Linked DNA regions of Struthio camelus. The protein of the gene in region 1 interacts with the protein of each later gene in a biochemical or structural test. Links are inferred from orthologs where the notes say so. Each region holds a gene or a part of one and is shown on either strand. Other genes may lie near its edges.

Region 1 (7,599 bases):
CAAGGCCTGTGGTATTAAACAATCCTGTTTGTATGTAAATAAATGCCCTTTTAATTTGCCATAATTTCAAGTTTTTTGTTTTGTAGTTGAGAATAATTAACATACCTTTTATGATTTTTTTTACTCTGTTCTACCTTCCGGGGCATACTTTCTCTTCCAGACACATGTGTAACCTCCAATAGCAATAATAACAGTTATGAAGTATGTCTGCAGGGGAGACAATTTCCCTAAAAACCTTTAAAATGTAAATCTATGCAACATTCCTGCCAAAATGTATGCTCCAGTAAGTGAAACTAATATTCTGTACTTGCCAGGACAATAATCCAAAAATGGAATAAATTCCAAACACCATACTTAAGAGAAAGTTCGTAATTTCAACTTTGCATAATAACATGCATGGTGTTCCCTCCAACTGCATAGTTACTTCTTGCCATCTGACTTTCGAAGTGTAACTTTTATGTTGAGGTGAGGGAGGAGAAGAGTGTTATATTTAACTTGATTGTATGCTTCTATTAGTAAAACTTCTGGAAAACGTAGTACACACGTATTGTATTCTAACCAGTTCCATGAAAAAGAAGAAAAATACTGATGCAGCCTTATTTGGACAGATAAGGATAGAATGCATAACCACATGCTTAATATATTTGGATTAGCAGCTATAACAATTACGATCACAGTTACCTTTGATGTCAGATTAGTTTTCTACAATTTAGTTCTAGTTAATGCAATAGATTACTCTTAACGCACACATCTGGGAATAACATTTGATTTATAATTATTAGTATTTTCTGACAAGGAAGGTTGTTAATAGTTGTGTTTAGTCTAAATTATGAACAAATGCTCTATTCGAAAGTATAATAATGTGTCTATGTATTCATACATTCACATGCATATACAGTGGCCAAAATTATGCTCTAAGTATTGAAGGGTAAGGTATAAAAACTGAAATTTATTTTTAATTAAGGTAGTGCTTATGAAAAAGGTTTATTGGAATCTTTCCTTGGGTTTTATTCATAATTCAGAAATGGAATTTGCCAAGCAGAGAAGTCAATACTTACATATCTATGACTATGTCTATATAAATATACAAATATGTAAATTATACATGTGTGTGTCTTTTATATATATAAAAAAAATATATAAAACATACACATCGATAACATCCAACAGCTAAGTCTACGCACAAATACAATACCCAGAGTGATTAGACTAAGCAACTCTTTCTGTCAATACATCTGTTTCTTAGGAGACAGACTGACTTGTGCCATAAATGCAGTCAAATGTCCTTCAGAGGCAACATCCTTTTTCCAGGGAAGTCAATGTTTGTGAGTCAAAAAGAGTGGAATCAGACGCACTCACATTTCATTTGCTGGATCCTGTTCCCATTACCATTTTAAAAGACTACATTCCCAACGGTGGTCTAATGGATGACTTAATGGATGCTTATGCTTCTATTTCTAAATACTTTTTTGTGCATTTACTTTTCCTTCATGTCTTCTAATAAATCTATGCAGTACACCATTAACACTAATCTGTGCTATTTTACTAGCAAGATGTGAATACCAGAAGTAAATCAGGAAGACAGACATGTCATCCAATATTGATGTTTCTTCCATGAGCATTTTTTAAATTGGCTTCAGAAATGAAATATTACTGGAGACTAATATTAGACAAAATCAAATGTTTTTTTTAGTTCCCTCTTCATCTCCTCCTTAAGAGTCCTTTCTGACAGACTATTACATTAGTAATTAGAAGTATTACTTTACTTACTTTTGTCATAATAGCAAGTCTCTGAGAAAAACTTGTTTTACAAAGCTATTTGTAGTTTTTATTTAAAATTACATGCTTTTCTATATGTAGACAAATTGATTAATCTTTAGTTTGTAAACACATTTATACTTGGCATGCAAAGTAGATTCTCTTCCCTCCCAGTTTAAGGATAACAGTATAGTTCAAAACTATACCGTACTGACCGGTACGCTACCCGCACTAACGAAGGCATGACACCACCCCAAGCCCTGCGTGACAGCGTACACCACCCAGCCCACCCCTTAACCTTCCTTCTCTGGGAAGCAGCCGCAGAGGTGACAGCTTTACTCAGTGTGGAGTCTGTAAAATGACTCTCTTTTTGTCCTACTTGGTAGCACCTTCTGTGGAAAGAAGAAACAAGTAAATATGAATTGTCTATTGGGTGTCTGTCTAGTCATCTCCCTAAACTGGTTATCAAGTAGACCTGCAGGACAGCTACTGTACTCCAACCCTCAATACTTTTCCTTGCGAAAACTGTGTCAGCATGAAGATAATCAGTTATTTTAAATGAGTTCATTACGTTACAGTGATGCAAATTCCTGGTACAGATGTGCTGCCGCCTGTTTACCAGGCGGCTAGGTTTGAGGGTGCTGCTAAGTTGGTATAATTATATCCACGCAAATACTTTTAATACAGGCAAGGCCTAAGGTAGCATGATTCTTTGAACTTCAGTGAGTATAATCTACTTAATATATACTGCGACAGCCATGGTAAAATCTGAATATTATTGTAGACGAAATTCTACTTGAGAATAGCAGATTGTGTATTAAAAGAATTATCTGGAAGATATATCCCACACAAATACAAGTTGCAATGGGAAGAACTACTGCACAGCTGATATTGCTATACATTGGAAAGAATAAACTGCCATTTGGTTTTGGCCCATTTTTAGCTGCAAATATGCTTACTAGTGTCACTGTATTATATTTCAGAGGGATGTCAAGGTCAAGGCCAGAGCAACAGAATTAATAACAATAGTTGTTACTAATTCTGTTATTAATTCTACATTGAATGTTCTACATTCATCTAACCCACTGTGGTTCTTTTATAGATTGAATAATGATGTACACAAACGAGCTGTACCTTCTTTTTAATATTTCATTCTGGAGTCATGCAACATGGAAAGCTGGTGGGACGCTTTATAGAGCAGTCACTTTTATAACTATAGCAAATCGACTCTCAACATTTAATTTAAAGGATCAGTATGTTAACAGGCAAATGTTAGATCAAAAAATGTGAACGTGTGATTTCCAGATCTTGAAAATGGTTACGTTTTTCTCAGGTAAGCTATGGAAGAATGACTGTCAAGCAGGTGTGATTACATGCACTTCCATGTACAACAGACAAAAAAGAAGCTAATCAACTGGAGTTCTTCAATCTGACAGCTGTAATAAACAAGAGAAATACAGTGTAGGGTAATTTTTTTTTCAAAAGATAATGTGCAAAATTAAAACAATCAAAATAATCCTGGAAGTGTACAAAGACCCATGTATCTTAAACTTTACACAAGAAATTTCCAACTCGTGAAAGTGCCTTCACCAAGGCTGCACTTAATGATCTTCTTTTAAATATTAGAATGGTATTCCACTGTATCTCGCAAATAATGACTTTTAAAAAATTGTTTATGGGAGAAAAAAACAACTATCACACGAATATGATAACACTTGCAATTCAAATATGTTTGGAGAGAAAAACAAATCAAACGAGAAGACAAGCAAAATTACAAAGTACCCAGCTTCTGCAGAGATGGCGTATTCAGTAGAACACTCCAGATTTCTTTTTAGCTTGAAGGGTGTTATCACAACAGAGCTGACTGAGTAAACATACTTGGCAGCAACAAGGGTAGACCATGATCCTAACCACATTAGCTAGAAGAAGCAAATTTAACAAACAAAAAGCAAAACACTTGGACTTTTTGGTGAACTAATTTCTGTTGTCATAGCAATCATTTTAGCTTTATGTTCTTTAGTCTTATGACATTTATACGTAGGTGTAAGGTATACAGCATCTTCACATTTTTACTTAAGACACTAATCTGCAATTGCTCAAAAAGAGGGATAATTACCTCCTATTTAGTCCTATGACATTATTCATCATTTTGTCTTATTCCATCATGTTTTATTTCCAAACACTCCCTTTTTTTTCCCCATTCAAACGTGGGCTCATTTTGTTCAGACTGTGTTAGGGCAAAAAAACGGTGGCTTGCTGGGAGAACAAGAAGGGGTGGCACGCTCTTGCACTGGTGGGTTGTGGCAGAATGAGTTAGCAGACCAGGCCCAAACTTTGCAGCGGGCATATCTACAAAACGTAGAAGAGTTTCTTAGAGGGACAGCGCATAGCATCTTTTTAAATATTCAGAGGGGAGCTCAATGGCACCTGGTTAATTTTACAAGCAGCCCTTCAAAGTGGGAAATCGGAGAAAATTAGTGCAGAGAAACAAAATTAGCACCAACCTACTTTTAGATCTGATCACGTAGGCTAACATCTCTGCGTGCTGAGCCCCTCTGCCCAGTGTGCCGCCTTGCCGGCAGCAAACGCAGGAAGTTTACTGAGGGGACGCTAATGCAAAAGAAAAACCAAACCGAACCAAACTAAAACCAACAGTGAGGGAGATGGATGGGAAGCCCTAAGACGATTTTTCTCCCCCCCCCCTTTTTTTTTCTGTCCTACCCACGCTGCAAACCGGGAGCGCCGCTGCGCGGGGCGCGCTGCCGGCCGGGGCCGGGGCCCCGGGGCGGTGAGCGAGCGCGGGGGGCCGCGCCGGAGCGGCGGGGGGGGCGGCGGGCAGGATTAGGTTTCAGGGCCGCCGGGGCGTGCCTGCGTGCGCTGCCCCCGCGGCGTGGCGCGGCGCGGCGCGGCGCGGCTGGGCTCGGCGCCGCTGCGCGGGGGCGGGCAGGGCGCAGGCGGCGAGCGGGGCCCGCGGAGCCGGCGCGGTAAGCGGGGCGCGGGGGGCGGCGGTGGCGCTTTGCCCCGGCGGGGGGGGGCGAGGGAGGGGGCCAGCGCCCATCGCCGGCCCCCACGGAGCGGGGTGCCGGCCGTAAGGGAGTTTTGAGTTTATTTCATGTGCATTTGATTTATTTCATTTATTTCGCAAAGTTGTTCTGTTTTTTTTTTTTTTTTAATTTTCCACTTATTTATTTTCCCGAGCGGCTGGGTTTTGCGGGGGAGGGGGTGGTGGCGGTGTGGAGGAGGAGAAGAGAGGCCTTGGAGGGAAGGGGGCCGGGGAGCTGCGGGCGCCGGCGGAGCCTGTTGCGTGTGCCCGGGGGCGGGGGGGGGGGGGCGGCGGGGAGCGGGCTGGGCTCCCCGGCCGCCCCGCGCCTCCTGCCCGATGCTCCCCGGGCTCGGCCCGCCTGCCCGGCACTCCTCCCGATGTAAACAAAAGCCGGGTCTCCTCCTGTTGCTGCAAGGCTGGCTTTCATTTTGCTTTCGCTCCCTACTACCCCTCCCTCCTTTTTTTTTTTTTTTTCCTCCTCCCAGTGGGGATTTTTTCATCTTTGCAGAAGGTCTCCTCCCTCACCCCCCGGCTTCTCACCTGCTGCGCTCTGCGCACCCGAGACCTATTTTGGAAGGTGTGTTTTGCGAGTGATGCCGTGGTGGTGTTTACCGCTCCCTCCTCGGGGAGGACTGAGCTCGGCTCTGAAATCCCCTGCCCTCCGAGTGTGTGGGGGGGTGAGGTGGGGGGGGTGCTGCGGCCGGAGGGGGAAGACGGGACATGCCGCAGACATGTTGCATGCGCAGTGGCCTGCGTCGAGCCCGAGTGGGATGTGACTGATGGGAACCAGCCTCCTCCTGGACCGCTTGTGCCAGAGGGTTTGCGCAGCGCTAGCAGCCGGCGGCGGCAGCAGTGCTGGGCGATGGCCCTGAGACGGACCCCCCGCAGCAGACGCCACCACTGCCCCTACTTTGCTTAGCAAGTCGGTGGTCCTGGAGGCGCTTAGGTTCTCAGCCAGGTCTTGTGGCGCCAAAACTCAGTTATAAGTGAAAACCAGCAAAACTCAAAAGGCCCAGCCAAAACCACTAGTTCTGTGCAGCAGATCTGTGTGAAAGACTCCATAAAAACTGGCTGGCTCTTTGATGTCATTGTAACTGCTGATAAGAGGTCACCAGTGTTTTTGGTCTTATCTTTCTTTATCAGTTATTTTATTGACGTTGGGGAGTTCTTGCAGTTATGGTCTCAATTACAGCTTTCTAAAGCCCAGTGGGTATTTATTTAAACGTTAATCCACGTTACACAGTGCCTTTAGAGGGGCCTAAATTTTGCCTTTTGATAGATTTGGCCAATGGATACTGCATAAGTTATATTAAGAGAAAGGTATAGTTTTCGGAGTAATTTCTTTTCCTGTGTGATTTTCCTTCTTCCTTCAAGAACATTCATAAACTATTGGAAAGAATAATAGTCTGTCACAAAGCTGGCAGCTTAACTCCCTGTACTGCATTTAACAGATTTGATTTATTATTTTGCTGAACAGTGTTTTATCCTTTTTCTCTCCTCGTCCTTTTTTTTTTTTTTCCTGCAGTGGTCAAAATAGCACCCCAGCCGTTTATATTTTTGCTCCTCAACGCTTGCAGGAAATTTTCCTAGTACAGCCTGTTGGATGGAAGATGTCATTAGTGGTTTTGATAACAGAAAGTGCAGCACGGGTTTTTTACTCAAGCAGAGCAGTGGCCTACTGTGTTAAAGGGTCTGAATTCTGCAGTTCTTGGAAGTTTATTTTGAAATGCCAGTTGGTATCAGTATCAGCAGTGCATTTCCCTAGATAACAACTGAATGGGAGGGAAGAATCTGAACTAGGAAGGAGGAAAGTAGTAAAATGTTAATGGGAAATGCTACTTGATGCTCACAGGCAAATGGAAAGGTGTGTAACATTAGAAGAAAAGAGCGTAGTACTAAAATATCTGAGGACATATTTACATAGATATTAACTAGCAACAAGTTTTATGATAGAGAGCATCATCTTAGCTTTTTTTTCCCCCAAAACTTTTGTCAGTTTTTAGAATATATTTTTTGTACTTCCATGTTATTAACAGGAACATGCATGTAACAGTTGCATGTAACAGTTTCTAATGGTTTCCTTTGTGTTCTCAAGAAATTTTTCTTCAGGAGCTGGATACATTCTTCCCTCTCTTAACGTGAAAGCGTACTAGGAAAGTTAGATCAATATCAACACTAGGGAAAGAAGAGCTGCACTGCTTACATACTAATTTTCTGTCTGACTCTGTGTCTGTGAGCCCCGGGGGGATTAATGCCATACAACTTTTTAGTCACTCAGAGCACTGTAGATGATCTGTGCTTCTTATTCTTTTTTCTTTTTTAATTGATCCCTCTTTAATCACTGTAGTGAAAACCGTTATAAAGACCCTTTAAATCATCTGATCCGTGTTTCATATAAGCAAATTTAAAATTCTGTAGATAAGATTTAGTACACTTTATATCTAAATGGCTTTGCATTAAAAGCACTCCATTAAAGCAGTTTAAAGCTAGTGGAGTACCATGCTGTTGGCATACAGTCTTACCATTGGTAGAGGTAGTTTTGTTTCGCCAATTGGAATTCCCAGCAAGACAACATCTAAATATGTCATTTTGTTTTCAGTGCCCTCTTTTTGCTTAAAATAATGCTTTGTGGTACTATTGGCTCGTGCTTCTGGAATAACTGCCGAGGCAGTATTGGGGTATTTCTCTCACAGGCTTTTCAGACCTGCTCCTTGCATCTGAGCAGCCTGCTTATTACGTGTTGTAACAATGATCAGCACTGCTCTTCTTGCATTTTCACAATGCACAATGTTTATTTT
Region 2 (7,831 bases), on another chromosome or scaffold:
GATAGTTGGAGTTTGTGTGGAGAGACTTGCAGGCTATGTTTTAATAGTGCTGTTTAGCCATTGAATACAAGATGCAGAGCGCTTGAACCTGATCATTTGAATTTTGCAATATTGTTGGTGGTTTTTATCCAGCTGTTGGGTTACGGCTATTATAGAAGAGTCAGCAAAAAGGGAAGAGAGGAAGCTTGCTTTGCTTCTGGTTTCTAGATGTGTATAAAGAGAGAGACCAGCAGAATAGCACGGGACATGCAGAACATTTAAAGTGGGGTAAACACAGATCAAAAGACGGGTTTGGGGGTAGGTAACTTACAGTAAAATGCCATACACATGCCAACATGTATGTGTGATAAGTCTACAGGTGGTCATATCTTAAGAGAGGGGTAACTAAATCACTGCCAAATCCTTCACATTCTGCACTTGCATACTCCCATCAATGTGCGACTCTGTCATGTCTAACACATAAAATGGAAAACAGAAATAACAGAGGTTGCAATTGCAGTTTGTGCAATTAGTTGAAATGCATAACACAAGCAAAAGGTCCCTGTGACACCCACATGGTGCTGGATAGAGAGATGGATAGAGAAGTAGAGAGGTTTCGAAAGACAGGCTATGCAGAGAAGACAGAATATTAGTAAATATTCCTGGCACACTGACAACCTTGCATGTGTTAAAACTGAAATGCTTTTGGCTAGTTCCTAAAAAAAAAAAACACCACTGTTCTTTTTTTTCCAGTCACAGTTTCTGGGGCTGTTTTCTTTAGGTTTTAATCCAAAAAAAGGCTCTATTCTTTCCAATAACTTCAATGGGCTTTAGATGAAGGCCTTAGAAAGTGTTTGGCTTTCTGTCCTGCTCGAGTTCACTCTTTTCACAGTTGAGGACTGGATCGATTAAACTCTAGGAAGTGCATTAATGCTGCCAGCTGCCATTGGCTCCACGGCTTTTGAAGACAATCAATTTTTCCCAAGGCACACACCACCTTTAGAGGGGCAGTGAAAGAACTTCTCCAGTTTTAGTACTTTATACTTTTAAAAAGGCAGTTTATTTTACATGTAGACAATACTAGATGTCTTTTTCCATTCCAGATATATGCTAACATTCTTCTGCCTTCATTAGTATATTAATGAGGAACAGCAAACTGTTAAGAAAAGACTACAAGCAATTAAAAAAGATGTCATTATTGATGTTGCAAAAGGAACAGCTTGAAAACCTTCTGTGCTTTTCCTTTCGAATAATGCCTGTTAAGATTACCCCTCCTTCTTTACCCCCTTCCTCGTGCAGTAGTCACCTTGATCTTCCCAGCTATCCAGCCTTATGGCTGACAGCAAATGAGCTACTAACATTTGATGCTATTTTTTTTTCTCGACTGCACAGAAAATGAATGTAAGCTTTGTAATTTTAGTCTCTGGAAATAGATATGTGTTACTAGGCTAAGCTGCTGTGTTGAAGACGTGAGGCATTAAAATCTTCAGTGAAGGTAATCCTTTCTGTTTGTTTGATATATCCCTTTCTGCCAAAAAATCTATTGGCATGTGAAGGTGAAACTCCGACACTAGACGTTCACGCCTGCAGACAGCAAAACATTGCCTGAGCAACTGGAAAAATATATGGACTCCTTCTTCTGCACTGTGTGAGTCACTGGATGCCTCACAGGAGATCCCTTGGTGCTGGGGATTGCCAGGTCTCCCGTGCACGGCCCCGAGGTTTGCTCCGGGCGGCAGCGGGGCTGCCCGACTGAACGAGCTGGCGTGCGACTGCCTGCTACGCCCTGCGAGCAGCGCGATGTGCTTTTACAGGTCTGTTTGGATGGGCCTGTGCGTCAGACACCCAGCCTTGCCCAGGCGGGTTTCAGATCCCCGTGGCCAAAAAAGGCAGCTCCCTGCTTCCTGTGTTGCAGTGTGAAGCGGAGGACAGCCTGCCCCGCGTGACTGCAACCACGGATGGATGCACCAGGCAACGTGCTTGTCCTCAAACAGCAGCTGCCTTCACTTTAGGGGGCAAAACCTGGCGTTTCTCTCTAGCCAGTGAGAAGAGTGAATTGGCAAATCATCCCATGGGCCCCAGGCACTGCTTTGGCAATGAGATACCTGCTCTGCTGCTGCCCAGAGCAGCAACAGCAGCTCTATGGGGGCCAGAAAGTCACTGCACGGAGACGTTTGAAACAGCCTTATGGCAGGAGGAAGCCCAGCAGCAGGTCTGATAGGATGTGGCCTGCAGAGGTGCCTGGGAGGGGAAAACCACTTTGGGGTAAAAAATGCCTAAACTGCCCCTTTGGAGAATTAATTCCCCAATCACCTCAACTTCAGTACAGCTACAGGGGGAGGCCTGGCCCTACAGGGCACGTAGCAGCGTGATGTGCAGCACCACGATGCCTCAAAGTTTGGGATGTCCATGCTGCCGAGCTAGGTGCCCCCCACAGTGAGCGCAGGAGATGGGCTCCTCCGCTGGCGCTCCCATCGGGGAGCGCTCAGGCCACAAGGATGCTTGAACTTGCTGATAGAAATAATTCAGATTTGTGCCTTTTCTTGGCCTGGAATGCTTCGCTCAGGTCCAAAGTTCAGCTGCTTCACGCGACGGGGATTCAAAGCCTGCAACGGTGGCTTTGCTTGCGGGCTGGCGGGAGCTGAGCCCTCGTCCTTGGGCAGCGCCCCGGCACTGTGCCGGGGCAGAGGTGGGCAAGCAAAGGAGGGCAAAGGAAAGGATGAGTCACCCCCTCTTGCTTTTCTCTCTTGCAGCTGGGCTGCCATGGAGCCAGAAGTGCAAAAGGGAACAGAAACAGAGGCAGGAGTGAGCACAACTGCAGCTTAGCCTAGTGGTTTGCACTCTCAGCTCCACTGCTTCTGCTTCTTGGACCATCTCTGCATTTAATGGGACTTAAAATGCAGAGAAAATCTAGGCTGGTAACTGTTGAATGTGTTTTGTGCACAGTGTCTTGCGATGAGAATCCTTTATTCTTCATGATATTGAGATGGCTTCTGCAGAATTACTGAAGTTTGTATGAACAAAAAACGTGCTAAACTCCTCTCGGAAGCTGAGTCATTCAACGACAGTTTCTAAAAAATCCCAGACAGTCACTCCAGCTCCAGCTTATCAGGTGCAGGGTGAGTTGGCATCTGACCCCATTTATTGAAACAATCTGGAAAGGAAATACAGCATTACTTTGGTAAGGAGAAGAAATAGTACTCTCCAGAAAGCAGGCCTTTTAAGAAGGTGGATGTAACAAATTATCCGGGCAAGCGTGTCACGTGATGAAAGAGGCATTCTCAAAACGCATTCAGGAAAACAAAATGTGATCAATGCCTAACTCTTCCACATGTTTTGGTGTCTGTGAACAACCTGCTTATCAGTCCCAGTGCAATTATCGCAGCGTGCCATGTGATGCAGATGTCATCAGGCTGCTATTGCAATGCCAACATTAGTCATCACAGCATCTCTGCCTGTTGCAGATAAAAGGCAGTCTGAATTACTGGGGCATCTTCCAAATGGCTCCAGCGGGCACAGTTCTCCTCTGGCCGGGGCCGTGCTGCACGTCACAGCTTCTTCCTAAAGGTCTCTGCCCCAAAATCTGCCTGCCAAGCAGCTTGTGGGGTCATTTCCTATCCTGCTGCAGTTCAAATGAGCTACGTTAGCGAAGACCCCCTATTTCAGGTATCTAAGGTACCCTGCTTCACTGACCAAAGCGTGGCCGGGGACATGCACTTGTGCGGCTCTGCCAGCAACGCTTGACAGATGGGGAGACAGCTGTGAGAGTAACCATACCAGCCAGCATCACCACAACTGGGAAGGGACACAAACCTACGGCCTTACATGCCGCATGAGTTTGCAATGTCTGTGCTAGGCACCCGTGGAGCGGTCTCAAGAGGACCCCTAATTCACTGTCACTCTGCACCTCGCAAATTCATTTAAAAGGGATTGCTAGCATTTTAAACGGACTTTGCACTGTCAAGGCAAACGTGGGCAAATGTTCACAGCTTGCTCCAGAGACTGAAGGTCCTCGCCTCACCCTTAGCTAAGCTGGAGCAGTCCTGCACATGATTCCCTATGTCCTTTTTCAGCTTCATGAAGTAAAAAATGCTGAGCTGTGTTTGCAAGCCCCCCTCTATGCAGAGATTTGTGAAGTCTGGTGACACAGGTCTTTGCAGACACTGCACATCACCCACTCAGCCCCCCTGCCATGTGGAGCACGCCCAGAGGGCAATTTTTACCTGGTCTAAAGGTCCTTTATACAGCTAGAGAGAAGGGATCTTGCTATAAATGAGAATCAGACACAGGTGGCAATGTAGGGTAGGCTGCAAGCGGGATTACCAGGAGAGCTTGGGAGCATAGACGACTACAAATGTAGGTGCTCAGAAGGTTTTAGGAGGAGACTCTCCATTCACCGAGCAATGGTAACGACCCTGCGTGGATGCCTAGCCTGCGGCAGCTAGGAAATAAAACATAGCAGCCGAGAGACACTTGAATACATCTGATCTGCCGGTGTGCGCTGACACCACAGAGGAGGAATAACCAACCTGTTACACCTACAGCGCGCACAGATACCTACTGCTCAATTGCAGTGGGCTAGGAGCACCCATTTAACGCCGATCCACTGATGAGTGGTAAAATGTTAAGGGGCGGTAAGGCATTTGCTGCAGACACGTGTCCATGACCTAACAGTACTGTGTATTCAGGTCCTATGAAAATTCAAGGAAAACTAGTCCTTCGGTTCTGTAAATTCACCCTGGAAGTGTGGGCTGAGTCACATTACCCATCAGCTCCTGGCTGCCTGCTTATGATGATGTTTTTGATGTGCTTTCTGCAGTAAAAAGCCTGACTAATAACCGCTGGCATGTGTCGTCTTAATAATTCCAAGAACTACGTCCCTAATGATCCGTGTTAAGCTTTATAGCATGATTTCCAAAAACATCCATCAACTGTGAGTATCGGAAGCAAATAAACAGAAGTGAGAGCCCAAATATAGAAATCCAAAAGGCGTCCAAGATCACTGCTTAGCTGCAGGGCCTCTTTCATTGGATGAAAAGTATAAAACATTGCCATGTGATTACTAGTACCACTCCTTGAGCTGAAAACATTTCTCACTTAAGAAAATATAAGATCTGTTAATAAGGATTTACTTCCCCTTCCTACTGCTCATCACCCCTCTGTGGCTTCTGCATAAATAGCACTCGTGTTTTTTTGATTCAAGTTTCTGTGTTTTTCCTTTGCACTAACAAAGCTGCAAGTTGTGAACAACAAAAAGCAGAAGAAGGAAATACCGAAGACACCAGAAGGCAGAAAAGCTGAGGTAGGACAAGATTTGTCTGCTTTTTCTTTTTCTGATGTAGATAAAAAATGGTTGTAATAATTAAAATGCAACTTACTTGCGTTTCTTGTTACTTGCTGTAAGCTTTGTTTTTGCTAGCAACTATAATCACTGACTAACGTTCTTTATGCTAAAGCCAGGCTTGAAAATTTTATTTGGAAGAAAAAAGTGTGACTTGATGTAAGTAGGAGTTTTACCAGACAGAAGATAGCAATCAAGTGGTGGATCTGAGTGAGTCCTGTTTTTTTAGCTAGACCAATATGACAAACTTTGTTCATGGCAAACTTTTAAAACAAAAAAGTGTTAAAGGTCAAGATCTCGATTTTTTTTTTATTATCATCCATGTAGAAAAGTTAATAAAACGCCATACGTTTCAGTGAATTGAATTTAGTGTTAATTTCAGACATCACATTTTGTTATATTTATTTTTGGTAATGCTGCTCCTGAAACATAAAATGTGTGCTAGAAAGAAAGCAAATGGGAACTTTAAAAAAAATTAGAGCTTCTCTTTTTTTCTCATAGTGCGGCAACAAATGCAAGTAATCTGACATGAATGCTCCCATGTAGCAAAGATATCATAACAACCTTCCTCTTCAGATAACAAACACGGGACTCTGGTGTCTGAAGTATTCCTCAGACAAAGGCATATTGTGATAGACGTGCAGAGCATCTCTTTTTCTTGCTACCCAGAAGTTTATCTTTATCTTTATCACTAAAGATATTGTCTTATCTGTATCTTATCTGTATAAAGATATTATCGTTATCTGTATCTTTATCACTAAACACAGAACCATATTTTGCATGAATAGATTTCTCTATTTGACTTTGCATATGTGCAACACCGTATTTAAATTAGGTTCTTCGGTAGTTCCTCGCTTCCTGGTGAGCGCGACGTTTCAGAAGGGCAGATATCAGAACCTTCACTTGAAAGTTTCCAGCAGTCTGGACATGAAGAATTTCATCCTCACACCTTTAGCAGCAGCACCCCTCCAACAAACCTCCCCAAAGGGAGGGATTCCTCCTGTTCCAGCCTGGCGCAGAAATCTTTCCCGCTGTCGGCTGAGTTACGGGCTGACTTGGCTGTTCTTGATTTAGCCCTCTACCAGAACTGGGAAAGCCCAGGGCTACTGACTGTTACGGTTTTCCCAGTAATAATTTTTTGACCTACAGAGTCATACAGGGTTTTTAGGATCACTGTTGGTACTGGTTTCACTTCACAAGCAGAAAGTAGGAGCAACACAGAGAAATCAATTGAGTTGATTTGTTGAGTTGAGTTGACCAACTTTTGTTGAGTTGATCAACTGAGTTGGTGGTGTTGCATAAATTGGGAGCAGAGTACAACTGTAAGAAATGAGCTGGTGGCTCAGACCAACCACCGTCTAGCCCAATATTCCGTCTCTGATGGTGGTGACAGGCAATGCTGTTTAGAGAGACCATGAGAGCTGGATCACCTTCTGCAGTGCATTGCCATTGTATTCCCCCAGCACCCCTAACTGTTGTTTAGGGGTGCTAGAGGGTATATCCCTGCCTAGTCCTTTATTTCCCATTTATTGTCCTTGAATTTGTCCAACCCTGTTTTGGACCAGCTGATACCAGCTGTACTCACTGGTTGAAAACAGGCTCCCATCAAGTCTGTTGAGTGTCCCTAGTGCTGCAGGACCCATGAGCAACAGTTTGCATTCACACCATCTGACACTTCGACACGTCTGTAAGCCGTGATCGCATTCTTCTTCAGCCTTGTCCTGCCACACTGAAGGGTCCCAGCCTCTTAGCCCCTGCTCTGTCTCTTGATCATTTCACTCACCTCTCTTTGACCCTCCTCTAACTCCGTTATGTCCCTCTTGGGTGCAGAGACTAGAACTTCACACGGTGTTCACGGCAGGGATGCATGGAGGTTTTATACAAAGATGCACCCTGCTTTTTTCTGCATAGCCTTCTTGATGATGCCCCTCATTTTGTTGGCTTTTTCGGATGTTGCTCCAGTCAAGGCAGAAATGACTTCAGTAGCCTGTCAACAATGACTCCATCACCAATGCCAAACACATGCTCTTTCCTGAATGAAACAGCTAGTTTCAAGTTCTGTATCACATAGGCATGGTTTAGATTATTTTTCCGAAGCTGCATCACCTTACATGAAACTACACTAAAGATCATCTGCCACCTTTTCAGCATAGTGTTGAAAAGCTCAGGGTCATCTGCCAGCCTGGAGATTTCTCTGCACACACCCTTCTCCAGGTCATTGACAAAGATACTGAACAAACCTGGACCAAGCACAAAGCCCTAGAGACCACGCTGCTGATTCATTAAGCCCTACACTTTTTCTTCCTACGCTTTAACCAGCTTTCAGTCCATAAAAGAAACTGTCTTCTAGATCTCTGGCAACTTAGTTCATTAGAAAACTTTTGGTGCAGAACTTTATCAAAGGCTTTTAGAAAATTCAACTATATAAATACATATATATAGATATATACATATATGTATTTATATATATATTTGTATGCATATATATATACACACATATATGTGTATGTG

What was found. The genes of interacting proteins can lie anywhere in the genome.
Region 2: the proteins of MPDZ (region 1) and CYSLTR2 interact in a test that uses a peptide from one of them, tested with the Homo sapiens proteins (2 studies listed by IntAct, with this or other methods). The link is inferred for Struthio camelus from reciprocal best matches to the Homo sapiens genes MPDZ and CYSLTR2.

The regions. Positions count from the first base shown.
Region 1 is NC_090982.1:21,775,337-21,782,935, reverse strand, and holds the start of MPDZ (multiple PDZ domain protein), read left to right. Parts: upstream 1-4,528; 5' UTR 4,529-4,546; intron 4,547-4,667; exon of another isoform or gene 4,668-4,742; intron 4,743-5,286; exon of another isoform or gene 5,287-5,378; intron 5,379-7,599. UniProt on the Homo sapiens protein: Member of the NMDAR signaling complex that may play a role in control of AMPAR potentiation and synaptic plasticity in excitatory synapses. Promotes clustering of HT2RC at the cell surface.
Region 2 is NC_090942.1:192,358,709-192,366,539, forward strand, and holds the start of CYSLTR2 (cysteinyl leukotriene receptor 2), read left to right. Parts: upstream 1-4,805; 5' UTR 4,806-4,912; intron 4,913-5,027; exon of another isoform or gene 5,028-5,212; 5' UTR 5,213-5,281; intron 5,282-7,831. UniProt on the Homo sapiens protein: Receptor for cysteinyl leukotrienes. The response is mediated via a G-protein that activates a phosphatidylinositol-calcium second messenger system.